4 linked regions of the Xenopus tropicalis genome follow. The protein of the gene in region 2 purifies or fractionates together with the protein of the main gene of each other region. This does not show direct contact. Links are inferred from orthologs where the notes say so. Each region holds a gene or a part of one and is shown on either strand. Other genes may lie near its edges. The genes, in order: nfkb2, map3k14, cad and timm13.

Region 1 (7,689 bases), on a different chromosome or scaffold from region 2:
TGTGACAGCACCCCCTTCCCCAGTTTATGTGCAACAGACCTCGGCCAGAGAGAGCAATTTGAATGTGGATATATAGCAAGTGGTTCCGTAGCAATACCATTCCCTCTACTTCCTGTGCCTGATACGGGCAGGGTTTGCTAACCATGATGGCCTGCAGGAAAAGACATTAAGCTTAACATTTAATTCTCAAACATAGGGTATCTACGCCTCCTATCTTGGCTAAATATCAGACGTGCTGATATAATTAAAAGACATTATTTTATGGCCACTTTGCCTGTGATGACAGTAGCATAGTCCTAAATATCTGTGTGCCCGTGGCTGAGGGATCATCTCTCTCTCTCTCTCTGTAATACTTTGACCTTTCTAAAAAAAATCTAGTGGAAAGGGGATGTAATAGTTCTCTGGTTTCTACCTCCTGATGTGATCTCAGTGGTTGCCAAGCAACAGCACAGAAGACACTAAAAATGTATAAAAGTGGGGACTTTTGGGGTGGAAACATTTCTCAGAATGAAAACAACACATGACTACATCACTGGTATTATTCCCCCTTACAATTTTTAAGTAAGTTAAATGAGCCCCAACAGGTTTGGGAAATCATTTTTATATGCATTTTATCATAAGGAGTTGTATGTATCATTCAGTGCAGATATATAGATGCCACCTACTGCCATTTGAAGGGAATATTTGATTAACATAATCATTTTAGTTCTGGGTTAATATTCTTCTGTTCATGTCAAATTCGGATTCCACAAGCAGAACGGAATTTTCTCCACAATAAATGAAAGCTATTGTACGTAAGTAGAAGATGGAGTGATAGAATATGACATAGAGGTCAGCGCTCCATACGTTCCAGCCTTAAGCAGCACATATTTCCTGGCTAGACTGCGACTGTACGAGCTTTGCCTTGAGACGTTCCCTCATTATCCAGTGGTTGGTGTGGATCAGCGAGTGAAGGTCTGACAAGCCCTGACCCTGTATGCATGCTTTCAGCAGCTATTTCATACGCAGGGGCAAGATATTCGGATCTCAAAGGGGGGTCAGCAATGCATTTCGGTGTATATTGTGTGTGAACACGGTAATGGTTTTTCTTTTCCTGTTAGATCAGTGCTATGCTTTGTGTAATCAAATAAAGAGCATGATTTTCGTTTCCTCATTCCTTTGTAGTTTTGGGATTGCAATGTTCTGCGCATCCTGCAGCACAAAAGGGCCCTGCGGTTTCTGATCAATGTTCTTTCCTAATGTTTAACCCTTTAGCTGCCAGAAGGACTGGCTCCATGGCTGTGCCCCTTTAGCAGCCGAAGGACTCTGTTTCTAGACATGAGGCCAGTGGCTTGTACGTATTTTGCTCAGAGGATGTACTTACTGTATCACTAGTTAATAATGCTAAGAATGTTGAATACAATGTTTTTCTTTTCTCTTCTGGTTGACTGCAAGTCATGCAACTGAAAAAAATGCCAAACTGTTTTTCTTTGTAAAAAAAAAAAAAAAATATGTGTTCGGTTTTTCCATACGTTTATTAAATTAAAACAACACTGTTACTACGGATGCTTTGTATTTATTTGGAATCTATAGGATGATTGGCAGCGTGTACAGGAGGCCAATTCAGATGCAGGGAGAAATGACCAATTGCAGGAATTCTTAGTCAGTGAACTGAGTAGGATCCAAATTACCTGAATGATCAGGCAGTGGTTTGTATGAGAGACAGGAATATGAATATGAGAGGGACTGAATAGAAAGAGGAGTAACAGAAGTAGAAATAATAAAATTAAAGCCTCAAAGAGCAAAAGCTAAACGCTGAAAAGAGTCAAAAAGAGTCAAAAGATGGGTGCAAATAATAACAATTATAAGAAATAAAATATAAAGACTAATCAGCTATTCTCTAACATATTAGAGGTTAATTTAAAGCTGAACTACCCCTTTAAATGCAAATAGGCTAAAAGAACAAGAAAAGGTTACATCTGATAATAGCAGTGTCTATATACTCAGTAATACTGCAGCACAGAGTTAGGCAGCAGGTAATGGCTGGAATGTTCATTACACCATGGTATAGTGGTGGGGGAAGATGAAAAAAAAACAGATTTCTTGTTCTCTGGACATTTACCCAGTAGGTATCAGAATAGCACTCAATAGTAAGAAATCCAAGTCTGGCTTGGGACTCCTCCAGTTACATGGGAGTAGGAGAAACAATAGGTTACCTGAAAGCAGTTCTAATGTGTAGCACTGGCTTCTTCTGAAAGCTCAGAATCAGGCACAATGCACTGAGATGGCGCCTACACACCAATATTACAACTAAAAAAAATACATTTGTTGGTTCAAGAATAACATATTAAATGGTAAAGTGAATTATATTCATGTAATGCAGTGAAATCAACAACTAACTTATAGCCACCTAATAGTCTTGCCAGAGGTGGGCCAAGCTGGCTGGGGGCACTAGGCAACCCAAAAGCCCCCAGCCCTTCCCATACATGAGTCTGCACACCTACAAGTGTGTGATTGTGATGTCGCCAGGGGAATGCATGGCGTCAAGTGGCGGCTGGGCCAAGAAAGCCTGGACTAGGCAGAAGTACCTGACTCACGTGCCTCCCCCAGTTGCACCCTAGGAAGGTACCTCTTCTACCCTTTGGTTGGGTGGGTTTCAGCCGATGAATTACTTATCAGCAGGGAGCAGGCCTATGCTCTGTGATGATGGGCTGTAATTCATGCCAGCATTTTTGATTTATAAACTTTTGCCCACCCCCAATGATATTAGAGATGGGCGGGGGTTTATAATTCATGGCAGCGCAGTGGGCCATGATGCGTGAGTGGGACATGCAGTCATTTCCTATGGCTCATACAATCACAAAAAAACAATTTGACTAAATTACATTTATTTGTAATAAAAATAAAACATTTAAATATTACATAAAAGAGTAAAGGCAAAGATGGACAGAACCACACAGTAAAACAATTAAAAAAATAAAAATATTGCTTGGGAAAGGAAAATCACCCGCAGAAGTTAAAACCCTATTAATGACTAGTGCATCCATTTTCATACAGAAGAGCATATTATTAGAGTGAAGAGTTGACCAGAGGGCAATTTTCCAGATCTCAATTCCCTTGTATAGGATTTTTTAGGGCCATTTTTTTTGTCTTCACGCACCACCAAAAATCCCTGGGGGACTGTGGGGGGCTGTACATGAGGTTGTCACACCTCTTTATTCTCTTACAGGTTTATTGCATATTCCTGAAAATGATTACTGCAGCCAAGCATTAAAAACAGCCAGTGTCTCCTTATCCAGATCTTTCAGTATAAATGCTTAAAGTCAGAATTGTCCATTGACAGCACAACTACACTTGGGGTCAGACAGACTCGAGGCACGGAGTTCGCAGACCTCAGGGTAATGTCACAGGTCCAGGCACTTTTCTCCTCCAAAGAGCACTGTGTGATTGGTGCTTACTGTCCAATAGCTGGCTCTGTGGTTGGGGAAAGCTCTGCAGACGACTGATCCACCTCCATAGACTGACTTTCATAAGCGCTGTCGTTCTTCCCTTCTGCTGGTGAGAAAAAGGCAACTTTAAAAAAACCAAAACAAACTGCACAACAATGGGCAACACTTTAACTGTACTGGAATTGAATTACATTTACCGTATATTGAAAGTGACATTGTTAAAGGGGATGTTCACCTTTAAATTAACTTTTAGCAGACATAGGCATTAATATCCCGAGACAATTTGTAACTGTTTTTCATTTTTCTATTATTTGTGGTTTTTCAGTTATTTGGCTATTTTTGAGCTGTTCTCTGAATTGGAAATTCAGCAGCTGGTTGCAAGGTCTTGTTTACCTTAGCAACCAGGCAGTGACTGGAATATGAATAGGATTGGGCCTGAATTGAAAGATAAGGAATAAAAAGTAACAATAATAAAATAGTAAGATCACCAAGCAATAGAGTTTTAGCTGCTTGGGTCAGTGACCCCCAATTAAAAGTTGGGAAGAGGCAGAACAGGAAGGGAAATAATTTAAAAATTGTAAAAATTAAACAATGAAGACCAACTGCAAAGTTGCTAGGAATAGAACATTCTACTATCATATTAAAAGTTAACTTAAGGGTGAACCACCCCTTTAATGAAATAATATACACTTGGTTGGACAAAACACTCTAAACCAAAGGCAGACTCTTCCTATTTTACTGCCTATGGTACATCCCAGCGTGTACTAAGCAAGTATCACAAGAGAACAATGGCTTCCACCAGATCATTCCCAATTCTGCAGAAGTGAAGAGAATTACAGCTATGAAACACCCCACGTGCCATTACCTATTTGCAATCTCATAAATGGCCATCTGGCTACCGGAATCACTGGCCCATGCATGTGTGTGATGCCTGTAACTGACCATCTTCGTACATGCACGGGACACTGATATGGAGAGTAAAAGCCACTGTGGGTGCACGTTTGAGATGAAACATAAAGAGTGGAGTAAAGGCGCACTAACTTGGATAATTACAATAATAAGCAGAACAGGCTTTCAGAGCATGTTTTAATGTGATTATTATTAGAGCTCCTTTGGTCCACTTTTTGCTATGTTTCCTCTTCTATAAGCTTTTGATTGGCTAACACAGTACAACAGCTTTGGTTTATTATTGAGTCACCAAGAATTTCCCTCTTCAGCAATGAAGGTGCCACCAAATCACACTGTTCCCCCTACCCATAGTTATTACTTGTTTCAAATATTGACAGTTTTTAATAAGATTTCCAAAATACAATGAGTGGATACTAACACGCAAATTGTATAATAAAACATTTTCCCATTGGCGCCTATAAAAGTTATAAAACATCAAATGTAGACAAAGGGCTAAAAGAGAGATGAGCAATTACTCCGCCAATATGGCAGGCTTTGTTCTCCTTCTAGATGTGACTCAGATGTACAATAGCATGCAGCTTAGTGCCAACAGATTCACAGCACAGTAGCAACACTTAATAAAAATGTCAGTAGGTCACTTCAGGATTGCTGAATAGGATATAAAGAAAGAGTGATGACATCGAGCTATTTGTGTAACTGCAAGACAAGTCCTAAAAGGATGAGCGATGCTGTTTAAGTTTCAAGCTGAACTTTTAGCACAGAAGTCACTAAGTATCTCAGCAGGAACTCATTCATTTAATAGAGTGGCTTAACACAGAAGCATTAATACTCCAAAGCAGAGGCTAAATATGTGCTGGGAGCAGCTTGGGGATACAAGGGCATTATACCAGCGTGGATTTCTTTGGCAAATATTTTGTTTTAGCTTAATATGTGCAGTAAGGGTGATGGCACACCTGCCCATCTGAACTGTCAAGAAAAATACATTTTTTATTTTTATTAAACAGACATACCGGGTTTCTCAGATAGAGAGGCATGATAGTCTGCTCATGACTTGAAGGGAACATTTACTCACCTCCCCTGAAGTCTCTCTGCTTTCAAGTAAATCTGTGCACCTCCCACCCAAAAAAAGCAGGAGGAAGTCAAGGGGTGGGGATGGAGAAATGTTCCTTGTGAGCCAGAGGCAGGGCAACATGGTTCCACAACATGGAACAAGGTGAGGCATAATCATATGACTATGGTTTCCTACTAATTATAGGAATTATATATATTATATATATATGTAAAAATATATATTTATTTTTGCCAGGTAAGAATGAATTTCCCTTTAAGAATTAAGAAGCACAGGCAAACCTGTAGCTGCTAACTAGCGATGAGGTTATAGACAAGTGAGTCACATGAACTGCTAAAACATATATTTTAGGTTATAAACATGAGCAGGGTCAGACTAAGAGGAATTACCTGGACTCTGATGTTTTGCATAGGTTTCTGATTTACACAGGAGTTCTACTCCTTTATTCAATCCCATCGACTGGAGAGTGTTAATCAGTTCTGTAAGACTGCCGCCAGCAAGCTACAGAGAAAAAAAGTGCAGATTTATTTTGAGTTTCCTATTTTGCACTGAATAATGGCTGCTACAGCAATTAGTTTAAAAGGATAAGATGTGAATCGACTCCGTACTTCATAGCTGCGCAGGAGACTCTCAGTAGGTGAGGAAGTGTTCCTATAGGTTTCCACTAAACTCTGCAGTCTCAGCCTTGACGCGAGTTCTGTCCAGTCTGCCCCAGTCTGACCTTCGTTCAAAAGCTTTTCAAGGCGCTGTACTGTGTTGGTCTCCAGAGCAAGAACGTTTACTAGGATTCAATATAAAGAAATGTAAGCGCGACGGATCAGTGAAAATAGACTCCATCTGCAGTGAGAGTGATAATGAGAGTGAATCTAGAGTCATACACTACCTGGCTCTGGTTCTCTCCGCTTCCAGGATGCACTGCCAGGAGTGTGTTTAGACAAAATATCTCGCACCTAATGAAATCAAAGTATAATATTAATTTATGCCATTGAGAAATAAAAGCAGCAACTCATTAGTTACATTTTCAAAATCAATTTGTAGGGTTCAAGTTTGGAGATTCTTTATTTTGAAAAGTTTTGATTTCATTTTGCTGAGCTAACAGAAAGGTTTTACACACTTAACAGACAGGGCTTATGGGTGTAGGAGGAAGCTAGAGGGCAGTATATATTTTGGCCAATATACAAGATAATATGGCAGCAAATATACATATAATATAGTATGCCACTAAAGAGGTTGCATGCAACGTTAAGTATGTTTTTTATCCTATAAGTAGTGATGCATTCATACTGCATTCTAAACCAAGGCTGCCATACCTGACCTCTGCTATAAACCAGGGCCCCATCTGACAAAGGTTAAAGAAGACATATAGCATAACTGAAAACCTCTCTAATCTTGTAGGCAACAATAAATAATAAATGGTGCTGATTTCACTCTGGGCTGTCTGGTCTCTTTAAAAATGGCCCCTTTTTTGGAGCTTCCTGTAAATCTGCTACAGACCCTGTCCCTGTTTCAGATAAGGGGTAGGTGTGTTCTAACAGTCCCTGCCAGAAGCACAGTAGGAGGGGGATAGCCAATCACAGCCCTGCAGTCACACGCAAGGACAGGCTTCAGTTCCCTATCAGGTCAGCCTAGCTGCTGATTGGTTCATGAGTGCCGCCGGCTCCCCTGTACAGCCTGGGAAGTGAAGCAAGAAGTGAAACAGATGGGTGGGACTATTTAGGATTATGCAGAAATGTTTAAATCAGCTCAAAACTTATCTTTTCTAAGAACATTCTTTCTATAGATAGAGGAGTTTAATGCACTGGCACATGGTTTTTTACACAATATGTCTCCTTTAAAGGAACAGTAACACCAAAAAATGAAAGTGTATAAAAGTAACTTAAATATAATGTGCTGCTGCCCTGCACTGGTAAAAGTTGTGTGTTTACTTCAGAAAGTCTACTATAATTTATATAAATAAGCTGCTATGTAGCCATGGGGGCAGCCATTCAAAGGAGAAAAGGCACAGGCACATAGCAGATAACAGATAAAACACTATTGTATTCTACAGAACTTGTCTGTTATCTGCTATGTAACCTGTGCCTTTTCTCCTTTTTTCCAGCTTGAATGGCTGCCCCCGTGGCTACACAGCAGCTTATTATATAAATTATAGTAGGGTTACTGTAGCAAACACACCAGTTTTACCAGTGCAGGGCAACAGTGCATTATATTTTTATTACTTTAAAGCTCTTTCATTTTTTGGTGTTACTGTTCCTTTAAGTTTTAGGCCTAAAAGTGAATAATAGT
Region 2 (8,770 bases):
TACTAAAGGTCCCCATACACGGGCCGATAGTAGCTGCCGATATCTGTCCCTTGGAGCAATTCAGCAGCTAATTGGCCTGTGTATGGGCACTTCCGATGAGCCTGCCCGACCGATATCTGGCCTGAAATCAGCCAGATCTCAATCGGGCAGGTTAGAAAATCTAGTTGGATCGGGAGCTGATGCGGTCCCCGGACGGACTTTACCTATGCCCATCATTATAATTTGATCGTTTGGCCCCAGGGGATTCTCCCGATATCGCCCACTCGTAGGAGACATGTCGACATTGCAAAGCGAGCGGATCTGCCAGTGTATGGGGACCTTTAGTACCAGCTACTAAAATACCCTGCCATAGACAATACTGAGACATGTAGAGACAATTATCAGTAAATGATCAGCATTGTCTATTATTGTAGCCATGACAAGTAAGCTACTTTTTCACGGCTACTAAATGCTAGAAAATATCCTGCCATAGAGAATACTGAGAATTGGCTCTGCTAAAACACACATAGAGACAATTATCAGTAAATGATCAGCATTGTCTATTTTAGTAGCCACGACAAGTAGCTTTGTGTGTCTTCACCCTAAGGGCAGTGGCACAAGGGGAGATTAGTCGCCCCGCGACAAATCTCAGTTACTGTGGGCGACTAATCTCCCTGCAATGCCATCCCACTGGAAAGAATGTAAATCGCCGGTAGGATGGCATATGGGTCGCTTTGTTTTCTCGAAGTCGCCCAAAGTTTCCTTGAGAGGCAACTTCAGACAACTTCGCCAAACGAAGAGTCAAGGGAGCACGGACTAGGGGTAGGCAGGAGAGGTACCTGCCTAGAACCCCCCTATCGTTGCGCCCTAGGCAGGTGCCTTTTCTGCCTATCCCTAGTTTTGGCCCTGTATAAATGTGTTTTTAAAGGGTAGCAGGAGTGTGAAATGGTGTAGGCTTCTGATTGCACCCCATGTGTCCGTAATGCAAATATTATCTCCACTTCCGTCTGCATTAAATACTAACCTAACCAGAAGCTCCTGGCCCCTGGCCAGCGAGTGTGTAGAACCGGTTCTTTGTAAGCATGTGATGCAACGTATGCTTAGGCACAACTACGTGCAGGCTGCAGAAGCACAGGGTGACTATTAACAGTAAATTAAGATGAAATTTAAACATTTTACATTTTATGTGCATGTATATGTAACAACATAAACGTTACCCTAATGTATCTAGTGGATAACTAATTTTGTGCAATTACCTGCATCAAGACAAAATGCATCTACACAGGGTGCCTTTTATTTGACTCGTTTGTCTATTTACACAGTGATTCCCTATGCCACCCAGTGCATATGCTCTATAGTGATTTTCCTCAGAGGTGGCCAGGCGGCGGGCGTCCCCAACGCTCCCCTCCTGTGCACGCACAAAAACCGTGTGCGCGCTCAGACGTCGTAAAGGGGGGGTGCTATGAAATGAGCAGTGGGGGCAGGAGATCCCACACTAGGGTTTGGCAAAAAAGGTACCTGCCTAGCACCCCCTCAATGTTGCACCCTAGGAAAGTGCCTCTTCTGCCTACCCCTAGATCCGGCCCTAATTTGTCTGTCTTTACTATACAGGTCATGTGCTGGCCAGGGTGGCGCTAGAAATCACTAACAAAATAGACAAAGATGGTGGCACAGCTCTCTAATGGACATTATATGTTTTGAGATTCTGCACCAATGCAACCAGAGCCCTTTAGCAGGGAAGATCTGTGCCTCTGAAGATGCCCCAGTAGCTCCCCATATTCTTTGGGCTGCTGTCACTTACCTGAGTTTAGGGACTGACTCACAATATACAGTATATATAGAATATAAAAGTCACCAGACTAATTCGTTATTAATTCAGATATTCATTACATAGCAGCTCGGAAATCAGTGCGATTTGCATTAGAATTATTTAATAATATCAACATCTGTGACAGATGAACCTTGTATTCTGCTTGATGGTTTGCAACAATTCCCAAAGCTCAGCTTTATAACAGCTGCCTAGAACACACTGAGCATGTGCAGTGCCACCGTCACTCCTTGCAAAATCCAGGATAGGGAGCTCCTGTGTGCAGCTTTGAAAACCTGAATCATTTCTGCTGGACCTATAGGCTGGTGCATTAAGTCAGTATATAAAATATAAATATAGATAAATATACAAATATAGTTTTGAGAGTTTAGTTCTACTTTAAAGCTGTCAATGCTGCAAATGATATGGGGATTGAGCATTTATGAAAACAGGATATTCTATTTTTTAATTTCTTTAAAGAATTTTTTAAAATATAAAATAAGTTTGAGTTTCAGTGCTTTGAAATAAAAATATGAGAGCACAATTAAGGGCAGATTTATTAACATTCTGATTTTCATGGTTTTCGAGTTTTTTGAAACCACAACTAAACTCATTTTCTCTAAAACTATGAATGTCAAGTGATTTATTAAAGCAGCCTTTTAAAAAAAAAAGCACAAAAAAAAATAGGAAAAACACATAGGGGCTGATTCACTAAAGTCCGAAAAAACGAGTGCTATTTACAGCATGCGTTAAAAATATTATCTCTTCTTATTTTTTGCAAGTTAACGATCGATTTACTAAAAGGACACTTATCATAATTAAGAAGCGATGTTCTTGTTATTATTTATCTGGTGATGAGCGATTTTTAAGCAATATTTTAATGCATGCAATATATTTATGCGCTATTTCGTATCACATGATATTAGCGCACGCTATTACATACGTAACCATTACTTTCTGAAAACTACTGTTCTGAAAATTACCATTTCCCTGAAAACACAAGCATGCATCACTCTAGGAAGATCACATACTGCAAACTCCGACTGCAAACTCCATCTTGTCACCACAGCAATTTTGTTCAATAACGCCTACTCCTGGGAGGCGCTAAGTTTCACAGTTTTACGCATTTAACGCTTCATATGTTTGTAAATCATGGGTTAGTATTATTTCTATGCGATAATTACCGCAATGCGATAAAAATAATGCTTTGCGATAATGCGTTTTTTTGCACATGTGATATGAGTGTTAACCCATACGAAATTACTTTGATGAATCGGTACTTATTTATCGCATGCTTTTTAACGCAAAAAAATATGCAATAAGTGTTAACGACCTTTAGTGAATCGGCCCCATATTGTCACACAAACAAAAAGCATCAAAATAATCCAAAAACCTCTAAAATCACGAAGCAAAGAAAGATCTTCCAGCGGCAAAAAGGAGACCTGCCATGGACTTCTACATGACCTGGGCAGCTTTTAAGTGGAGGGTTTTTCTTTTTATATTTGTCGCAGGTTTGTTGCATAATAAATGGTAAAAAAAATCATATATATTTTCCTTGACAAAATTGTATTTTTGCACAAAAAAAACAACCTTTAGTAAATGCTCCCCTTAGAATTTGCTGTTGAGTCTAACCGAGTTTCTGACAGCTGTGTGCATTCTACTTTGCCTTTTCTAATACTGTTTTTTAATACTGTCTACTATTTATTTTTTTTACGAGCCTTCATGTTCAAGTGTTCAATTTAGAGATTGCTTGCTTGCATGTGAAAAAAATCTCACCCCCGCACCAGTTTAGAGCATTCTCTAAACCAATGGCTGTTGTCTTCCTGTAAATATGTGCTCTTGCCTGGAAATCCCATGAGCTGAGGAACCAATCAGAATGTGCCAATGAGCTCACCAAAAGAAGGGGGGGGTAAGAGACGAAGGGGAGGGTTATGGAAGAAGGAGGTGCAGTTGCTGCTGTACAGGCAGTTGAAGTTAGAGGCAAGTGCCTGGGAGAGAAGTGAACAGTCTGGGAAAAAGTAGGGAAAAAATCAGTGAAAACTGGAGGGTGGGAGGAAGGAGAGTGGGGAAGAGAGCGTGGACTTTCTGTGGATACAGAGGAAGAAGACAGTGTGGAAAACTGTAAGGAAAATAAGAACAGGAGCTGGTAAGCAGTGCCGGGCTGAGTCTGAATGGGAGGGTTGTGCTTTTAAGGCAGAATCATGGCGCCTAATAATGTACAGTATATACTGTAGGTGTCACTTGACTTGGGCGCTAAAGTTGGCTTCCACCAACAGCGTAGTAGGTGTGTCTACATGCAAGAGTGGTCAACAGTTTGTGTGCAAAGCACTCTGGGAATATATGCACACTGAGGGGGGTCTTAAGGGGTCAAAAGGGTTGATTGTAGGTTCCGCAGAATATTTCTATGCAACGCAACAATAATAGATCTGAGATGTAATGTACAGTACTTACTGTATGTATCAGTTGTCTTGGGTGCTTAAGTGGGTGGGAGTATTAAGGGATCAATAGAATTGACTGGATTTGTCAACCACCTTAGCTTTGGCACAGAGTTGCAGATACATGAAAACTTTGTGCCGTCACCCTGCTGTAGTTCTACGAGTATGTAAATAAGTGGAGTACAATGGGCGGTGATAATAAAAGAACAGTTGATTTTGTGCACATTTCGCCACACTTACATGTGAGCAGAGGCTGCCATACCGATTGCCTTGTCTAAGGTAGCCTGGAAATACAAGTTTATGACCAGCTGGAATAGGATTCCTCCGCTCTTGCAATATGGCAGCTTCCACTTTTGTGTAAATGTAAGGAATATTCCTTGCACATCCACTACCTATACATAGTTTAACAAGAAAAGTTGTATAAGAGAAACACAACTGGTATAAGGATGATAAAGATATAAGGATGATTTCACTTTTACATGAGATGAAGGGTTTGCCTGTAGCCGTGGTGTATGAGACGGGACCCAAACTTGCCCCAACTGTAACCTTGGTTGATTCCAGGAGGCCTTATTATGGGGTTAAAATGACTATTATTGCTTAAACTCAATGTATTCTTTTGCATAAAGGTTTACAGTGAGTATTTAATTATTAATCCACTTTAAGCCAATGAATAGCATCTTATTTTTTTGGAGATAATGTCCTTTTAAATGCTTGGTGTGGGGTGAGTGTGTGTTATTTTGGCATGGTCTGTTACATGAGTGAATTTACATGAGAGATCCTGTGCACAAGTTCTGAGTGGGAGGCCAATGCTGTGACTCATTCGTCAATACTCTAACTTGGATTCCAATCCAATCAGACAGCCCTCCCACATGTCCCAGCCTGATGGCAGCTGGTGTGTGTCTTAGTATTACTTGAAGTACAGAAGTACTGCTTGGGTACTTACTCCAGGTGGAACTTACTGCGGGTGCAAGTAGGGCAGTTGCACTTTATGGGTAGGTGGGCCTCATTACTGATATCAAGAAGGAAACTTCTTACTCCAATGTATGCCACTTCTGCACATGTTGGAGTCCAGCAACATCTGTAGGGTGGCAAATTGGGCAACAGTGGCATGAAATATTACTCCCACTATCTTGGCCTGGTAAACCAACTACCCCTTAACTGCTGTTTTTCAGGGTGTTGGACACGGGCAGTTACTTTTGTTTGTGTTCCCAGTAGATATATCCACCTGGAAGCTGTTGGTATAGGAGCAAAATTGCATGGTGCAACTTTTCTACTAGGGTATGAAGCTGTAGATCTTATGGTATTAGAACTTTGGCACATATTGCAGCAAAAATAGCATCTTCCAGATGAAAACTTGCGGATCAGTAAAATCCATGATTGTCACCTAGAAAACATGGATGGCTGCATATTAGGCAAGAATCACAGACCATAATCTACAAACAGCTCCTACTGCTGGTGTCAATAAGAAGTGACCAGTGGTTATTGGTATCATTGATATCATTGTTATCATTGTTATATTGTTATCGCTAATTTGACCTGCAGTGATTGCCATTGTTTTATCACTAATTTGACCTGCAGTGATTGCCATTGTTTTATCACTAATTTGACCTGCAGTGATTGCCATTGTTTTATCACTAATCTGAACTGCAGTGACTGCCATTGTTGTATCACTAATTCAGACTGCAGCAATTTCCACAATTTCCGTCTTATCACAACTTTGATCTGGATTAATAGCAACACTTATACGCATGCCATGAGCCTAAAACTAGATAACAAAGTGTACCAGTCTGCATTTTTACTTTTAAGTTAGAGATACACCCACAATCCACCTTGTCAGACCTTTCTATAGAAAAGGTCTTCCGTGTCACATTGCCTTTAGCCTGGATTTATCATTGAGGAATGCATATAGAGGTATTCTTTTTATAACCCCACAAGAAAACATCAGATTGGCAGACCCCTAGGTTGCACCTTCTATTTAAAATATAAACTCAATGCACTAACAGTGGTCATTGGTACTTACATGCTATAGTGCCCATTTTTTGGGGCAATCTTGGGATCAGTGATGGTGAAGAGGTAGCACAAAACAAAAGCAGTGAGTGGTGAATTTGGGGTGAATTTGAAAATGATTCTGCGTTCAGTGTTGGTGAAGGTGCAGTAAATGAAATAAAGCCATACATTAGAGTGTATCTGCACATGGCCCTGAGAGCAGTGATGATGAAAGAGTAGGACTTGACAAAGGGAGCAAGTCAGGGCAGATTTGGTCATGGTTCTATTGGCCAAAAATGTCCCGAATTTTGGATCCTCTCTCTGGCCTGTTGACTTGGGCTACTGTCAACGATTAAAGCAAATCTGGATTGTTTATTGGATCTCTTATAATAAGGAAATAAAGGTGGACAATGGTCAGATGACTATGTGCATCTATGTAAAAACTTAGAGATGGATTGAACCCATGATTCAGTTTGGGATTTGGACATCATGTGACTTTAAAAGACTTAAATACAGAGCAATATTTTGTTCACAGATAATATAATTTTTTATTTGTTTCAAATTTGAATATACAAGTAGGGTTTTGATTTGGTTCAGCATTTGACCAAATGTTGTATGGAGGATTCAGTATTCAGGCTAAATCGATAATTTATGGATTAGGTTCAAAATGTCCTGTTGATGCCCATTGCATCCAAGTTTTACTTGCAACACGGACATCATCAATAGCATATGCGTCATAGAGGCCAGTCATTTCTAGGACAGACTGCCCAGGTGTGCCCGAAGAACTACATAGGGGGTATGGTTGAAATTTGGGGTAATTCTTCATTTATTTTTGTGGTTTAAGCTGGAACCAAAAGAAAGTGCCTATTTTAGCCATATTTCCATCAGTATGTTACCTTGTTACAAACTTGTTCTGCGCTGCGCAAACTAAATGTTGGGCAGAAAAGGGGTTCTTCAACCTAAAAAAAAATTTGAAAAGTTTTGCTAGGGCAAGGATGGAAGGGGTTAACCAAATACCAGCAGTTATTGTTGTTGCCACTCCCTGTGTCTTTGAGATAAGGATTAGAGAGTTTTTGTTTGTATATGGTTGTAGTCCTAAGAGCTGTGGAATCTGTGTTACTCACCAAAGTATGTTTTGGTGTATATGAACAGTTATTAGCATGGACTTTGATACCAGGATCACTGATTATACACCACTATACTAGATCCAGAGAAAAGCAATTGCACTCTCTGCACTAGTGCCCCAGAATTGCCACTGTTTTAATAAGTGGTGTTTTGTCAATAGTTCTTTGTTACTACACTTGGTATGCAAAAGAGCATCTACCCTCATTCAGGGTAGAGTGAAAAGCAGTAGAGGTATGGGACCCATTATCTAGAATGCTTGGGACCTGGGGTTTTCCAGATAAGGGGTCTTTCTGTAATTTGGATCTCCTACCTTAAGTCTGCTAAAAACGTTATTTAAACAGTAATTAAACCCAGTAGGATTATATTGCCTCCAATAAGGATTAATTATATCTTAGTTGGGATCAAGTACAAGGTACTGTTTTATTATTACAGAGAAAAACTAAATCATTTTTAAAAATGTGAATTATTTTATTAAAATGGAGTCTATGGGAGATGGCCTTTCCGTAATTTGGAACTTTCTGGATAATGGGTTTCCGGATAAGGGGTCCGATACCTGTATCTTTTTTAACTCTATGGGATATGGCATTAAACTGAGTTTTCTGCCACCTGTGTGATGGCTTGGCAGGTGGGCAGGCAAGCAAACACTCAAATTTGGCTCATCATTGAGTATATGGTAATAATAATAAAGTGGGTCAGGGAAATATGGCTTTACTGTTTGTAATTTACAATGTCAAGTGTTTCTGACCAGTGATGCACCAGTAAGGTCAGAGTTATTACTATGTAACTCTAGGGGGCAAATTTGAGTGTTTTACTGCCTGCTGATCTGCTGGCAAAATGCTTGAATTCGTACTATGTGCCATAGTCTCTAAATGGGCAGAATACTCCTTTTCAATGTGAATGCAGTAAACAGGGCCTGTGTAGTAAATGCTTTTCACCTATTGTTTCAATCATGACAAATCTGTGTTTCTTGTTACTAGCAGCTCTGTGTGTCGTCACTCTTAGATGGCTATACGCACAGGGTTGGACTGGGGGTGCAGGTCCACCGGGGCTGCCACCGCAGGGGCCCCACACACACCCAGGGGCTCCCTTTAGGGGCCCCTGCTACACGTACATGCCCCCTGCAGGGGCCCCATCCCTCCCTTCGAGCATGCATAAGTCTTCACCCTTAGATGGCTATACACACAGGGTGAGACTGGGGGTGCGGGCCCACCGGGGCTGCCACCGCAGGGGCCCCACACCCCCCCAGGAGCTCCCTGCAGGGGCCCCTGCTGCACGCACACGCCCCCCCCGCAGGGGCCCTCCCTCCCTCCAAGCGTGCATAAGTAGATGCAATCAGGGGAGGGAGGCCAGCTGGGATTATATCTGGCCCAGTCTGACCCTGTATACACATACATACTACATGAAATATAGTTTTGTAGAGTGTGCGGTTACCATGGCA
Region 3 (8,000 bases), on a different chromosome or scaffold from region 2:
ATAGGTCAGATACAGGTAATTGGTCTGAGCCGGCCACTCCGCCGCCACCGTGTCAATCTGCTTTACTACCGGCAAAATCAGCAGCTCCTGCCGCATCTTGCGGACTGCCAGCTCCGTGCTGGGGAAAGAGGAGAGGGTGGTAGGGTGACTTAGTGGGCAAATGGCAGCGAAACAAGATGGGGGGAGGAGTAAAGGGAAGGCTGGTACCTCTGCACGGCCAGGGCAATCTGCTTGTCGGAGAAGCCCAGCTGTTTGGCTCGGAGAAGGACCTCACGGGGCATCAAGGTCTCATCCTGGTGGTAGGACTCCAGCGTGGCCACCTGATCAGTAATATTCTTCATCTTATGGAGGAACCACCTGTCAATCTTGGTCAACTCATAAAGGCGCTCGATAGTGTAACCTGCACGCAGGGCAGCGGCCAGAACGAAGATCCTCTTGTCTGTCGGCGTCTCCAGTTCCTGTATGAGTGGGACACAGGGATGTGTGGGTGTGGGCCGAACACATTGTGGTATCATTGGGGCCCAGGAAGAACTGACCCATGAACAGGGGGTAAGTGGGCCGAACACATTATGGTATTATTGGGGCCAAGGAAGAACTGACCCATGAACAGGGGATGTGTGGGTGTGGGCCGAACACATTATGGTATTATTGGGGCCAAGGAAGAACTGACCCATGAACAGGGGGTGTGTGGGTGTGGGCCGAACACATTATGGTATTATTGGGGCCAAGGAAGAACTGACCCATGAACAGGGGGTGTGTGGGCCGAACACATTATGGTATTATTGGGGCCAAGGAAGAACTGACCCATGAACAGGGGGTGTGTGGGCCGAACACATTATGGTATTATTGGGGCCAAGGAAGAACTGACCCATGAACAGGGGGTGTGTGCCGAACACATTATGGTATTATTGGGGCCAAGGAAGAACTGACCCATGAACAGGGGGTGTGTGGGTGTGGGCCGAACACATTATGGTATTATTGGGGCCCAGGAAGAACTGACCCATGAACAGGGGATGTGTGGGCCGAACACATTATGGTATTATTGGGGCCCAGGAAGAACTGACCCATGAACAGGGGGTGTGTGGGTGTGGGCCGAACACATTATGGTATTATTGGGGCCAAGGAAGAACTGACCCATGAACAGGGGGTGTGTGGGTGTGGGCCGAACACATTATGGTATTATTGGGGCCAAGGAAGAACTGACCCATGAACAGGGGGTGTGTGGGCCGAACACATTATGGTATTATTGGGGCCCAGGAAGAACTGACCCATGAACAGGGGGTGTGTGGGTGTGGGCCGAACACATTATGGTATTATTGGGGCCAAGGAAGAACTGACCCATGAACAGGGGGTGTGTGGGCCGAACACATTATGGTATTATTGGGGCCAAGGAAGAACTGACCCATGAACAGGGGGTGTGTGGGCCGAACACATTATGGTATTATTGGGGCCAAGGAAGAACTGACCCATGAACAGGGGGTGTGTGCCGAACACATTATGGTATTATTGGGGCCAAGGAAGAACTGACCCATGAACAGGGGGTGTGTGGGTGTGGGCCGAACACATTATGGTATTATTGGGGCCAAGGAAGAAATGACCCATGAACAGGGGGTGTGTGGGTGTGGGCCGAACACATTATGGTATTATTGGGGCCAAGGAAGAACTGACCCATGAACAGGGGGTGTGTGGGTGTGGGCCGAACACATTATGGTATTATTGGGGCCAAGGAAGAACTGACCCATGAACAGGGGGTGTGTGGGCCGAACACATTATGGTATTATTGGGGCCCAGGAAGAACTGACCCATGAACAGGGGGTGTGTGGGCCGAACACATTATGGTATTATTGGGGCCCAGGAAGAACTGACCCATGAACAGGGGATGTGTGGGTGTGGGCCGAACACATTATGGTATTATTGGGGCCCAGGAAGAACTGACCCATGAACAGGGGGTGTGTGGGCCGAACAGATTATGGTATTATTGGGGCCAAGGAAGAACTGACCCATGAACAGGGGGTGTGTGGGTGTGGGCCGAACACATTATGGTATTATTGGGGCCCAGGAAGAACTGACCCATGAACAGGGGGTGTGTGGGCCGAACAGATTATGGTATTATTGGGGCCCAGGAAGAACTGACCCATGAACAGGGGGTGTGTGGGCCGAACAGATTATGGTATTATTGGGGCCCAGGAAGAACTGACCCATGAACAGGGGATGTGTGGGTGTGGGCCGAACACATTATGGTATTGTTGGGGCCCAGGAAGAACTGACCCATGAACAGGGGGTGTGTGGGTGTGGGCCGAATAGATTATGGTATTGTTGGGGCCCAGGAAGAACTACATAGTAACATACATAGTAACATAGTAAGTTGGGTTGAAAAAAGACATACGTCCATCAAGTTCAACCATAATGCCTATATATAACCTGCCTAACTACTAGTTGATCCAACTGACCCATGAACAGGGGGTGTGGGCCGAACAGATTATGGTATTATTGGGGCCCAGGAAGAACTGACCCATGAACACATCGCTGTCATAGGGATGCACTGTATCCACTAATTTGGGATTCGTCTGAACCCCACAGAACATGGTGAAAAATGTTCAACCTCCGTGTTTATGTGGTGAAAATTCATGTGATTTTAGGGATTCGGATTCAGCCAGACACATTGATTGGGCAGAATCCAAATCCTGCTGAAAATGGCAGAATCTTGGCCAAAACCTGAAACCAAATCCTGGATGCCAAATTAGCACACTTAGCGCCCAATAAGGACCAACCCATAAACACATGACATTATTAGCCATTACGTGCCACTTACCTCATCAGATGCGGATTTGATGCAGTGATCAAAGCCCACGCAGTTCTCGTCCACCATGCGCAGAGCTTTCTGGAAGGCTTCTTCAAAGTTCCTACCAACAGACATGACCTCCCCTAGGGAAGTAGGGAACAGTTTAGCCACGGAGGGGCTACTACAACAAACACCTCCCACATCTAATACCCCCCCCCCCCCCAAAGCCCCATATTCACCTACCCACACTCTTCATGGAGCTGCCAATCTTGGTGCTGACTCGCAAGAACTTGCTCAGGTCCCAGCGCGGAACCTTCACCACACAGTAATCCAGGCTGGGCTCAAAGTTGGCTGTGGTGGAGTTGGTCACGGAGTTTCTGGGCAAACAAAATGGCAATAACAAGTGAAATCCACAGCGTGATTGACCCCCAACAAAGAGGGAAAGCTCAACGGACACTACAAAATGAGTGGCCCAGTCTTTAGCCTCCACAGGGACAAGCTGAGGAACTTGCAGGGCCACAGAGCGCTGTACCTGAGAACGGGCAGAGGAATTCCCAGTGCCAGCTTGGCAGCCACATACGCCAGGGGGTAACCAGTTGCTTTACTCGCCAGGGCTGAGCTGCGAGACAGCCGTGCGTTCACCTCGATGATGTAATACTGGGGGGGAGAAGGAATAAAGCCCAATATGTTAGTGCCCTTCAGGTTTGGGACCGACTCTATGACCCGTTTGGGTTCCAGGGTGCCAGTTACCTGCTCAGACTCCGGGTTTAGGGCGTACTGTATGTTACACTCGCCCACAATGCCGAGGTGCTGGATAACCTTAATGGCCGTGTTGCGCAGCATGTTGTACTCTCGATCGTTCAGCGTCTGGCTGGGAGCTACCACGATGGACTCGCCAGTGTGAATGCCCAGGGGATCTACGTTCTCCATGTTGCACACCTGGGAGGAGAAGAGCAGAAGGGTTCAGCGGCACCGACTTGGCACACATTTAGCCCAATGTACCCCTAAGGCTCCATGATGGAACGACTGGTCTGCGCGTCAGCAGGTGGGCAAAGCCCCAGCCCATCTCCAACCCTGTGTGCCGCCCACACCTGGGCACTACCCCGTGAGTAGGGCATTCTCACCGTGACACAGTTATTATAGGCGTCCCGCACGACTTCGTACTCTATCTCCTTCCAGCCCTTCAGGGATTTATCCACCAGGACCTGTGTGGTGTGGGCGAAGGCCTGGCACACCAGGGCAGTCAACTCCTCCTTGGTACTGGCAAATCCAGATCCAAGGCCGCCCAGCGCGTAGGCCGACCGGACCAAAACCGGATACCCGAGACGTTCTGCAGCAGCCTGGGCCTGGAGGCACAAGAGCATTAATATAAAGAAGCAGCATGTGGGCACGGGGCATATGGGCAGAGAACTGTGCCAGGCGTGTGGGTTTCAGGGACCCGGAAGATTCCCGGCAGGTTGGCGTTTCATTACGGGTGCCATTTGTGATTTCAGGTTTAAATGACACTTACCCCACTCCCTGCCACCCTGCGTTATACACCATCACTGGGCTCTTGCCCGCACAGGTGGCACAGATGGTACATAAAGTGCAATAACAAGAGGAGGGCTCATTGCTACACGCACATAACATACATGTAGCCAGGCGATCACATGTGTAGCACTTACTGTAAACCATGAGAATTTGCTGTGTCACAATTATTTTAGCAGGGACTTTTTTGGTTGGTCCAATAGATCCTCCTACCCAGCTGATTGGCCAGGCTGATTTGCTTCCTGTGCGTGACTACAGAAGCTCTATGTGCAATGCTGTATTTATCTCACAATACTGGGGGGGAACTTATTGTGCAGAGAGTTGCAGTCACACCATGCCCCCCCATATCACGGACACAAGAGACACCCACAGTAATCTCTTACCTGCTCTAAGGAGAAAGCTGCCTCACTGGGGGCCACGTGTTCTCCAATCTCCTCCATCTTCTCCACAAACACTTTGCGATCTTCCGTCATTTCAATGGACTTCACAGGGGTCCCCAGAACCCGCACATTGTACTTCTCTAGGACTCCCTGCTTGGTCAGCTCCACCCCACAGTTCAATGCAGTCTGACCCCCAAACGTCAGGAGGATCCCATCTGGCCGCTCATTCTTTATCACCTGGGAAGGACATCAGACTCTTCATGTTCCTCCTTACTTCTTGCTCAGGGGAGCCCTGTGTCCCTCCCAGTCTCCTCCCCTACTGGGTTCTATGTTTATATGGTTACTGGCCATCAGAGCTTCCTATTGGCTAACTGCCTGAGATGAGACTATTTATGCCCCACCTTACTTCCTGCTCAGGGGAGCCCTGTGTCCCTCCCAGTCTCCTCCCCTACTGGGTTCTTTGTTTCTATGGTTACTGGCCATCAGAGCTTCCTATTGGCTAACTGCCTGAGATCAGACTATTTATGCTCCACCTTACTTCCTGCTCAGGGGAGCCCTGTGTCCCTCCCAGTCTCCTCCCCTACTGGGTTCTATGTTTCTATGGTTACTGGCCATCAGAGCTTCCTATTGGATACCTGCCTGAGATCAGACTATTTATGCCCCACCTTACTTCCTGCTCAGGGGAGCCCTGTGTCCCTCCCAGTCTCCTCCCCTACTGGGCCATCAGAGCTTCCTATTGGCTAACTGCCTGAGATCAAACTATTTATGCCCCACCTTACTTCCTGCTCAGGGGAGCCCTGTGTCCCTCCCAGTCTCTTCCCCTACTGGGTTCTATGTTTCTATGGTACTGGCCCATCTGGGCTCCCATTCCCTAGGGGAGCCCCGTGTCCCTCCCAGGCGCATAGACTTGCCAAGTGAACCCCACAAACACCAAGCTGTGATGCTCCACCCATTTAGTTAACCCCTTATAGAGACAGGAGCCTCCTTGCTGGAGAGAGAGGATGAGGAGGGAAACACTTACCTGAGTGACATATTCAGGGGTGATTGGCAGGAAATAAACCTTGTCGGCGAGGCCTTTCGATGTCTGCACTGTGGCGATGTTGGGGTTAATCAGGACAGTCTGGATGTTCTCTTCCTTCAGAGCTTTGATGGCCTGCAGGGGGCAAAGGAAAGTAACTCACGTGCCCCCCCTAATGGGACATGGCGCCTGCCCCTCCCACTGCAGAATGACAGCCAGCAGGGAGTTATGGGACATGGCGCCTGCCCCTCCCACTGCAGAATGACAGCCAGCAGGGAGTTATGGGACATGGCGCCTGCCCCTCCCACTGCACAGCTCAGAAGAGAAATAATACAGAGAGAAGGAACGGGGGGTGCAGGGGGGGCAATAACACTGCGGCCGGGAGGGAAATGTACCTGGGAGCCAGAGTAGTCGAACTCCCCGGCCTGGCCAATCGACAGCCCCCCTGAGCCCAGGATCAGCACTTTGTGTGGGCGAGAGGCCTCTAGGTCTGTGACACTGGGAGACTCCTTGTATGTGAGCAGCTCAGTCACTCGCTGTTTAACTGGGGGGGGAACACAGGGAGGGGGGTAAATCCCTAAACCAGACTCACGAGCCATCAGCTCCCACTCCTATGGTGCATCTGCCCCAGGTTACAGTGTATATCCCCCTGCCATTCTGTTATTGCCCCTTGGGCAGCACTCGGGCCCCTATGGTGTATCTGCCCCAGGTTACAGTGTATATCCCCCCATTCTGTTATTGTCCCATGGGCAGCACTCGGGCCCCTATGGTGCATCTGCCCCAGGTTACAGTGTGTATCCCCCCCCCATTCTGTTACTGCCCCACGGGCAGCACTCGGGCCCCTAGTACCCATAGCCCCTCCACTCACCCGTCTTCTCTCCTGAATCTCCAGCCTTCCGGTCTCTCACAGTGTCCAGGAACACATCAAACAGGCCGACCAGATCCATGGGCCCAGCACAGTGCTCGGGGTGGAACTGCACACTGGGGGGCAAGAACTGGGCATTAGGGCAAGCGCTGGGGCTCTTAAACATACCAAGCGGCAACGGAAATGTTACAGGGAAACACTATGGCACCTCCTACCCATATGTATAAATACAAATATACAGAGAAGGAATGTTCTGGGCACACAATAAGCTGTACCCCCATACTGTACTGTCTAAGGGAAACACTATGGCACCTCCTACCCATATGTATAAATACAAATATACAGAGAGGGAATGTTCTGGGCACACAATAAGCTGTACCCCCATACTGTACTGTCTAAGGGAAACACTATGGCACCCCCTACCCATATGTATAAATACAAATATACAGAGAAGGAATGTACAATATGCTGTACCCCCATACTGCCCTGCATCTGCACTCTTTCTGCCCCCGTCCCCCCAGTACCTGAAAAAGGGCTTAGAATCATGGATAATTCCCTCATTTGATTGGTCGTTGGCATTCGTGAACAGAGGAGACCAGCCTTCCGGTAAAGTGTTTGGGTCCACGGCGTATCCATGGTTCTGTGAGGTTATGAAGCAGCGCCGAGAGCTCTCATGGATGCACGGCTGGTTGTGCCCACGATTCCCGTACCTGGGGGCAAACATTCAGGTTAATCCCACTGTGACAGAATGCGCTGTTATACAGATAGCTAGAATCTCAGCCATAAAGCAGGGCAGGACTGCTGCTTACAATGGGGGGATCAGATAGGATCTGTGCCACTGTGACAGAATGCTCTGTTATACAGATAGCTAGAATCTCAGCCATAAAGCAGGGCAGGACTGCTGCTTACAATGGGGGGATCAGATAGGATCTGTGCCACTGTGACAGAATGCTCTGTTATACAGATAGCTAGAATCTCAGCCATAAAGCAGGGCAGGACTGCTGCTTACAATGGGGGGATCAGATAGGATCTGTGCCACTGTGACAGAATGCTCTGTTATACAGATAGCTAGAATCTCAGCCATAAAGCAGGGCAGGACTGCTGCTTACAATGGGGGGATCAGATAGGATCTGTGCCACTGTGACAGAATGCTCTGTTATACAGATAGCTAGAATCTCAGCCATAAAGCAGGGCAGGACTGCTGCTTACAATGGGGGGATCAGATAGGATCTGTGCCACTGTGACAGAATGCTCTGTTATACAGATAGCTAGAATCTCAGCCATAAAGCAGGGCAGGACTGCTGCTTACAATGGGGGGGATCAGATAGGATCTGTGCCACTGTGACAGAATGCTCTGTTATACAGATAGCTAGAATCTCAGCCATAAAGCAGGGCAGGACTGCTGCTTACAATGGGGGGGATCAGATA
Region 4 (8,065 bases), on a different chromosome or scaffold from region 2:
TCCGGCTCATGCGTAACAGGAAGTTTATCACACGTGTGTGTGACTTTGAGCTGCTGCCGGTCACAGTAACGTTGAAATGGACGGGTTCGGGGCTGACTTCTCTGTGGGGGGATCTAGCTCTGGGAAAGTTGATACCGGAGCAATAATGGAACAAGTTAAGGTGCAGATCGCAGTTGCAAACGCTCAGGAACTTTTGCAGGTAAAAGGGCTTTCTGGACAACCTTACTTTCACAGGACAGTAATTTTTTTTGTCTTGTCTTCTAGCTATGCCTCTTTTTAGACGACTTGTGGTCATATTTTTTATGTAAGTTTTCTGATGAATTATCTGCATCACAATGCAATCTTCAGAAGCTTCCTTAGAAGATACTACAATTGTGACAGCAGTCATTGCTGTTTTTTGGTGGAATACAAGATTTTAAGGTACACATAGGGGCATATTTATTATGCTATGTAAAAAAAACAGCAAGAAAATTTGCCACACAGCGCCAGGCTTCGCTGTGTAAAAAATAGCATAGAATCTGCTTAATTTTTTTTAATGTGCTTTTTCTTCCACCGGAACTTGTGTGAAATAATGACGTAGAATATGGCGTTCGGACGGCGATCTTTTCCGTTTATTTTACACAGCTTTTTACACTGTTTTTTTTGGCGAATTCATTTTACACAGCTTAATAAATATGCCCCATATTGTAGCCCAGGAGGTAGCTGTGCATTGCTGTAGGGCCATCTTGTTTATATTGATCACAGATATGCTATTTGAAGATCAGGTTTTGATTCTTATGTGGTGGGTCAACCCTATATTTACAGTGGGAAAATCGGCCTCTGTGGCCAAGCCTTGTCACATATAACTCAATAATTAGAACAGTCAATTTCACAAAAAGTACTCCTTTTTTCACAGTGTTTTTCATACACTTTCAGTGTATGTTTCTGTCGGTGTAGTGTCAAGTCATACTGGCTTAGGGGTTGAAGCATTTTTCAATAGGCAATTTTTGTTAATACAGATTGGGTGCATATTTTGTATGGTATTCATGTTGAGAGTACTGTAATTTTTGCTTTCAGATAATCAATTTAAAACCCCAGTGGGCTTGTGTAAGGGCATAATTTATAGAGCACTTTTCTCAATGGGGCTCTAAGCACTTTACAGCAATTATAGGCACACTATGGGGCTCATTTACTAACCATCGATTTAAAATTTTAAACTCGATTCAAATTTTTTTCCAAAAAATTCACAGAATAAAAACACGACTTCTGAGATTTACAATGAGTCTAAAAGGCTAAAAATCAGAATTTGGCAATTTGGCAGATTAAACTTGCCGAGTTCATGTAGAAGTCTAAGGCAGAGGTCCCTTACCTTTCCTTAAAGTTCTTTCTGTGTTTTGTCCAAAAATCACTACTAATTTTTCAAATTGTCGCAGTGACAATTTGATAAAGTTGGGATTTTCACAGTGACAGTTTGCAAAAGTCTTCCTAAGTATTCCTAAGGATGCTGAAACACCAGAAGATTAAAGAAACAGGAACACCAAAAATCAAAGTGTTTTAAAGTAGTTAAAATATGATGTACTGCACTAGTACAACTGGTGCCTTTTTTTCAGAAACTTTACTATAGCTTATATAAACAAGCTGAATGGCTCCCCACATGGCTACACAGCAAGGCCAAAAAGGCACAGGTTACACAACAGATAACGGGTAAGCTGTGCAGACTCAGATTTGTATACTACAGAGTTTATCTGTTATCAACCGTGTGTACTGTGCTTGAATGGCTGCTCCCATGGCTACTGAGCAGCTTGTTCATATAAACAAAAGTAGTGTTTCTGAACACTGAGTTTTACCACTGCAGGGCATCAGTACATTATATTGCCATTCTTTAAGATCACTTTCATTTTTAGAGGTTACTGTTCCTTTAACTAACTTGTCCAGGATCACAAGAAATTGCCACAGGTAAAATCAACCTTAAAGGAGAAGGAAAGTCATTTTGGCATTTTATTGCCAATAGATTAGCGACATTAGTGCAAGCTACAACGCTATATTTATTCTGCAGAAAGCTTTACCATACCTGAGTAAGCAGCCCTAGAAACTCCCTCTGTTTATTTAAGAAAGCAGCTGCCATTTATCTTGGTCTCCACAGCTTCCTGCTGCAGCTCTAGCTGTTAGTAGCATATGTCACACATTCTGATGGGAGGGGGATTCATTCTTTTAAATTCTTTTTGGAGGGGAGAGCAGGAGAGAGGAGAAGAGCTGCACAGACTCCGGGCCCTGAATGAAGGACTTTTCTGAGAGGAAGTCAGATACCAAAGTATATGTATACACAAAAGGAGACAAGAAATCCTGTGTTTCTTTTTATAGAGGACTCTGTGAGTGCTTATGGCTGTATTTACATAGACCATTCTGATAAAGCTTACTAAGTTCTTAGCTTTCCTTCTCCTTTAACATCTTGGTCAAAGTGTACTACAGGTCTAGTTAGTTGTAGCAATCAATCAGCAGATAGCATTTACTGGTCTTCTGTTAAAAAGCAAAGTATCGCTAACCCCTAGCTAAAAATGCAGAGTAGCACAGCAGCGTACCTGGCCGACATCATCTTACTAACTTAAGAGACTTTGGGTCTCTCTGCCGATACGAACCTGCTTGCGCATGTGCAGTTAGAGGTAGCAGGAAATCTGCTTTAACTGTGCATCAGCAGTGAGACCCGAAGAGTCTTCAGTTGGTAAGCAGCTACGCTACTTTGCATTTTTAGCTAGGGATTAGCGATACTTTGCTTTTTTTTTTTAGGGGTTAGCGATACTTTGCTTTTTAACAGAAGAGTTACAGCATTTATGAAACTGGTTAGGTAATTGAGAGATATTTGTTCTTACAGTGGTAAAATAAACATTTGGTCACAAAAGAACTAGTAGTTTATGCATAATGTGCAGATTAGGTCTCCTGTTATGGAGAACATTAGGTTGTGCAGAACTAATAAAGATTTATAATCAAATATTTATTATTCTATGAAAGGTTTTCTGTGTAAATACTGATCTAAACATACTCCTTTTGTAGAGAATGACTGATAAATGTTTCCGAAAATGTATTGGAAAGCCAGGTGGATCTCTCGACAATTCTGAGCAGGTATGTTCACCACTATACTTGGTGCCAATACACTAAACCGTTTCAACACTGAGAACTCATTTGCATGGTTTTTAGAAGATTGACAAGCAAGTAAAGATGTGACTATAATTGACAGGAGAATGTTGATTTACTGTGTAGGACAAGTTGTCTGTGTATTGGAGAGTGTGCTTTTGATTACATGGCTGCTTTAAAAAAATAAAAAAAGACAACCTGTGGTGCCAGACACAAACAAGATGTCCTTCTCACTCACCCATTAGCAAAAGGAGGTTAAGGCATTCTTTGTATTAAGCTACTAAAAATGCCCTCTGCCTTAAACTAAACAGAGATCGTTTCTCCATAAACTGCAAAACATTTAAGTTGTCTGACTATATCAAACTCATCCTATGGTGCCAAAATTTGTGTTGGCCTAATCTTACATTTGTGACAGTCTCGGCTGCATTTATCTAGAGAGAGAATAGAATGTTCTGAACAACTAGTATGTGCCACCATTTTGGTTTCTAATCAGATATTGTACTTCATTGTCTAAGGGCAGTGTCACTAAGGGAGATTAGTCACCCCGGGACAAATCTTCATTAACACGGCCAACTAATCTCCCCACAATGCCATCACACCGGCAAGAATGTAAATCATCGGTGGGATGGCTTATGCATTGCTATGAAAAACAAAGCGGCATGTATGCCATCCCACTGGCGATTTATAATCTCCCCACAATGCCATGCTACCGGCAAGAATATAAATCCCCGGTGGGATGGCATTACATGTTGCTACGAAAATGAAGCATCACGTATGCCATCCCACTGGCGATTTGCATTCTTGCCGGTGGGATGGTATTGCTGGAAGATTAGTTGCCTGCGGTGGCGAAGATTTGACGCGGGGGCAACTAATATCCCCGTGTGCCACTGCCCTTAAGCTATCCATACACAGGCTTGTTTACCCACTCCAGATGTTAGGCCAAATTGAGTTGATGAGTCCCACTGCACTGGAACACAAGTGTTAACTAACCTGAGTCCCCTCTAAGGGAATAGTACCCAATGGTCCAGTTTTTATGTCATCACACTTTTTTGTCATCATAAAATGAATACCTCCTGCATCCCTTTTGTTAGCTCTCCTTCATTGATTGATTAGAATCTTTTTTTGCTTAAAACCTTTTTGCTCAGGCATAACTGCTAATTGATTCAGTCTACTACCAATTTAAAAATGAGAGCAATGACCTGATTAATTGCTATAGACAACTGCATTGCACTGTAATTGAGCAGTTGTGTTTGTAAATCAACCCCATCCAGCTTATTTCAGAAGATGGGCTTTCATTGATTGACTGTCATTGGTCATTTACTTTCATTGTAAAAGGTGGGTAAAAGATACTGGGGCAGGGCAAAGTGTGCAGCAGATGGCATATTTTCATAATGGCGGTGACTCAGAGCCCATGTTCCAGGGGGCCCAAATGCTGTGTAGCTGGGGAGGGAGCAGAACTGCCTGGGGCCTTTTCTTAAAGTAGAAGGAAAATAATTTTGAGCATTTTACTGCCAATAGATTTGCCACATTAGTGCCACATAGAATGCTATATTTATTCAGCTGAAAGCTTAACTATACCTGAGTAAAGAACCTTAGTATCTCCCTCCGATAGCAGCTGGCATTTTAGCTTGGTCTTGGTAGCTTCCTGCTGCAGCTGTGTTTCTTTTGATAGAGGACTCCATGCAGCTTTTCTGTGAGAGCTTATGGCTGTATTTACATAGACCTTTCTGATCAAGCTTACTTGGTTTTTACCTTTCCTTCTCCTTTCAGGTGGAAAATGTTAATCTGCCAACCTTATTGAGAAATTTAAAAACTCAGACTAAGATTTAACTTGTCTTCCCATGGAGCTACTGTTTTTCTTGTATAAAAATCTCTACATAGTTTATAGCTTTACTGTTGGAAAAGTCCACCCAAGAGTCGACTTTTGGTTGGAGAGCAAAATATTCATAGTGTCAAAATATTTTGACTTTTCAAAACCATAACACTCAGATTTTTTTTTCTTGCTCAGACTTATTTTTGTAATGCTTCATTATCTTTCTCTCTGTAGAAATGTATTGCAATGTGTATGGACAGATATATGGATGCCTGGAACACAGTTTCTCGGGCATACAACTCCAGATTGCAACGAGAACGTGCCAAGATGTGACCTGATAAAAGAACACTGCAAGACCTATCTACAACACAAGCACTGAGCTGATTTAGAAATATAGAAAAGGACAACTACCAGACAATGATACATTTCTAATTAAAAATGTTAACTGTTAATGCAGGAATCACTAACTGTTATTGACCATGTTTTAGTTTATTTCAAGGGTTAAACAATAATTTAACGACTAGTCAATACATTTTTTTTCCATCATACTTGAAACTCTAGAATCTATAGTGTTGGCACTGGTAATTTTTTCTCAAAACCTATTTTCTTAAAGAGTTAAATCTCATAAGCCATGAAGTTTTTTTTACAGCTGCTGTTGTGCAGCCATCCAGTTCCAGATAGGCAGGATTTACATATGATAAATTGCTGGTTAATTGTAGTTTGACTTTTTTAGTCATAATAGCCCTATTTTCCTTTTTATTTTTGTGTGTCAGTGCTAAAATAAATATTATATTCCTGTTGGAGGTCTTAGAGAAATTGGGATTTCTTACCATAATTAGAGAGCTAACCGCTTTCTCCAGCATCACATAATATGACCGATGTGTGGGAAATCCTGTTTTCTAGAGTATGGAAATAAAACAATTTTTGTAATGTGTCCGAGGCCTAAACCTTTTGTATTGACGGTTGCATTTTCCATGGAACTCTGCAGATCTAATGCAAAACTATCTAATTTGTTGGTAAATTAATGTGTTTTCATACATAATTGCAGCAGAACTTTGGTCTTGTGTAGGATTTCATTTTCCAGACAAAATAATAAATTAATATATGGGTACATTAATTGCATAACTATAGTATTTAAAGCTAAAACTGATTTTGCCAACTTGCTGAGCCTTCAGGCCTTGTTGGAATGTTTTGAATAAATTCTACTCTTTATCAGTGGGATAAGTATGCATCATTTTACTTTGAGGCTACAGACATATTGATAATTTTAAAGACTGAAGAGTAAAGTCTCAAAGGCGTCCACACACGTGACAATTACAATGGTCGCAGGAAGATTGTTTTCTCTACTAATGTTAAGAGCTGAAATGCAGGTAGAAAAAAAAGAATTCTACCTCTGACTATTCAACATTAATGTTTTGCTGATGTCCTTTGAAGGCACCATATTAAAACTTTCCATACTTTCCAGTTGGTAAAATGACCAATATCCAAGGCTTTTGCCAATATTGGCCACCTTGTCTCCCACCACACACAAACTGAATATTGTTGGAAACCTTGTTTCATACCATAATTTCGCTGCGTTGCATGGCCACCTTTGCTCTCCAGTCTGTGAAACTACTGATATGTTTGTGGTTTTAATCATTTGCCTATGTAATTGATCTTGGAAGCTCATGAAACAAGATCAGAGCTCTTCTAATACAAACATGAGCAACCTAGGTAAATACATGACCTGTGATAAGATTTTCTCAGTACAAATTTATGTATTATCACACAACATTCTTTGAGATTAAAAATGTATGTACTGCACTCAAAATTTGTGCTCTCACAATTGCATAGGGGTCATCAATATTTTATACCCCTCTCTATTGAATTCAATTGCTAAGATTAGTGCAGACTTAAACATGCGTGTTCACGGTAACGTAAGATCTGATAACTGTACTCAAATGTGCAGGCACACATCTAAGTCTGATGAGGCATGCCTGGCAAAGGTAAGAAAGATGATGACCCTGCATTTTTTTCATAAATGGAGCCCTGGTCCGATTGAAAAAAAACCCTGTAACAATTGGAATTCATTAGGGGGTGCATAACATATTGGCAATTTTTATTGCTATTGCTTAGTAAGTTTTTCTCACACTTGCTTTTCAGCAAAAACACTGAATCCTTTTAAAACTTAAGCAATATTTCTATTCTATACACATAACAAGGCTAATAGTCTTATGGTGGTCATACACGGGCAGATTTCAGCTGCCAATTCGGTCCTTTAGATTATTTCAGCAGCTTATCATATGTGTGGGTCCCCTGAAGGGCTTGCTGACAGATACCTGGCCTAAAATTGGCCAGATCTTAATCTGCAGGTTTGATTCTCCCCTCACATCTGGAACCGCAAGCTTGTTAATGCGGTTCTCGGTCCAACGACTCATATACCCGCCTTTTTTGTCGGACCGATCAGCCCTAGGGCTAAGTAATCGAAAGACTCTTAACGTGTATAGCCACCTTTATGGGTCAGTTACTCTTTATCTGAAAGTGTAAAAACTTTTCTGGACAGGTGTGTATGACTTTCCTGAGTGTAGGAAATATATTAAGTCATTTGTTACATCTCCACCCTGAATCCTCTGTTATACATTAAGATCTGTTACACATAAGCACACTTACAAAGTCCTTATACGTTGTCATAATAACAGGTCACCTTTATTTATAGAAAATATACTCTAAATGTTCTGCTTTGAAAGCATACAAGTGAATAAAGCAATATGGGCAGTAAAATGTCTTTTGGGTTAATTGCATATGTTTGATGTAACCAGGTGGTAAATATGGCCCTTCAAGTTTGTCCCACCAGCTATTTCCAAGTGGCTGCCCATCTGTGCCACACCCTGAGTCAGAATCTTCATAACCGTAGATTCTGTCCAATCCAGTTGCGGACAGATGTTATCCGAGTGTAAACTCCTGGGAAATAAGGCCTTGCACAACCATAACCCCAGCTGGTTATTCCTGCTAGAAACCACCGACCAGATGGCTCCCTACATGCCAAGGGTCCCCCAGCATCACCCTGGAAAGAGAAAGCACATACATTAGAAGTGGACAATGGCTTGCTCCTGATTCAAATATAAAATTGCCTTACTTTTACTACTTTACAGTAAAAAGGCAACA

What was found.
Region 1: the proteins of map3k14 (region 2) and nfkb2 purify together in Homo sapiens (affinity purification with mass spectrometry; 6 studies listed by BioGRID and IntAct, with this or other methods). This does not show direct contact. The link is inferred for Xenopus tropicalis from reciprocal best matches to the Homo sapiens genes MAP3K14 and NFKB2.
Region 3: the proteins of map3k14 (region 2) and cad purify together in Homo sapiens (affinity purification with mass spectrometry; 3 studies listed by BioGRID and IntAct, with this or other methods). This does not show direct contact. The link is inferred for Xenopus tropicalis from reciprocal best matches to the Homo sapiens genes MAP3K14 and CAD.
Region 4: the proteins of map3k14 (region 2) and timm13 purify together in Homo sapiens (affinity purification with mass spectrometry; 3 studies listed by BioGRID and IntAct, with this or other methods). This does not show direct contact. The link is inferred for Xenopus tropicalis from reciprocal best matches to the Homo sapiens genes MAP3K14 and TIMM13.

The regions. Positions count from the first base shown.
Region 1 is NC_030683.2:43,659,387-43,667,075, forward strand, and holds the end of nfkb2 (nuclear factor NF-kappa-B p100 subunit), read right to left. Parts: intron 6,357-7,689; coding exon 6,290-6,356; intron 6,188-6,289; coding exon 6,015-6,187; intron 5,908-6,014; coding exon 5,796-5,907; intron 3,535-5,795; coding exon 3,434-3,534; 3' UTR 2,851-3,433; downstream 1-2,850. UniProt on the Homo sapiens protein: NF-kappa-B is a pleiotropic transcription factor present in almost all cell types and is the endpoint of a series of signal transduction events that are initiated by a vast array of stimuli related to many biological processes such as inflammation, immunity, differentiation, cell growth, tumorigenesis and apoptosis.
Region 2 is NC_030686.2:17,613,592-17,622,361, reverse strand, and holds the start of map3k14 (mitogen-activated protein kinase kinase kinase 14), read left to right. Parts: upstream 1-3,728; 5' UTR 3,729-3,932; intron 3,933-8,770.
Region 3 is NC_030681.2:162,291,707-162,299,706, reverse strand, and holds part of cad (CAD protein), read right to left. Parts: intron 7,283-8,000; coding exon 7,097-7,282; intron 6,689-7,096; coding exon 6,576-6,688; intron 6,252-6,575; coding exon 6,103-6,251; intron 5,843-6,102; coding exon 5,711-5,842; intron 4,927-5,710; coding exon 4,693-4,926; intron 4,129-4,692; coding exon 3,907-4,128; intron 3,722-3,906; coding exon 3,533-3,721; intron 3,440-3,532; coding exon 3,315-3,439; intron 3,160-3,314; coding exon 3,026-3,159; intron 2,926-3,025; coding exon 2,813-2,925; intron 459-2,812; coding exon 208-458; intron 119-207; coding exon 1-118. UniProt on the Homo sapiens protein: Multifunctional protein that encodes the first 3 enzymatic activities of the de novo pyrimidine pathway: carbamoylphosphate synthetase (CPSase; EC 6.3.5.5), aspartate transcarbamylase (ATCase; EC 2.1.3.2) and dihydroorotase (DHOase; EC 3.5.2.3).
Region 4 is NC_030677.2:92,864,430-92,872,494, reverse strand, and holds timm13 (mitochondrial import inner membrane translocase subunit Tim13), read left to right. Parts: upstream 1-71; 5' UTR 72-76; coding exon 77-199; intron 200-3,027; coding exon 3,028-3,096; intron 3,097-5,155; coding exon 5,156-5,254; 3' UTR 5,255-6,136; downstream 6,137-8,065. Other genes in the region: tmprss9 (transmembrane protease serine 9), read right to left, coding at 7,803-7,964. UniProt on the Homo sapiens protein: Mitochondrial intermembrane chaperone that participates in the import and insertion of some multi-pass transmembrane proteins into the mitochondrial inner membrane.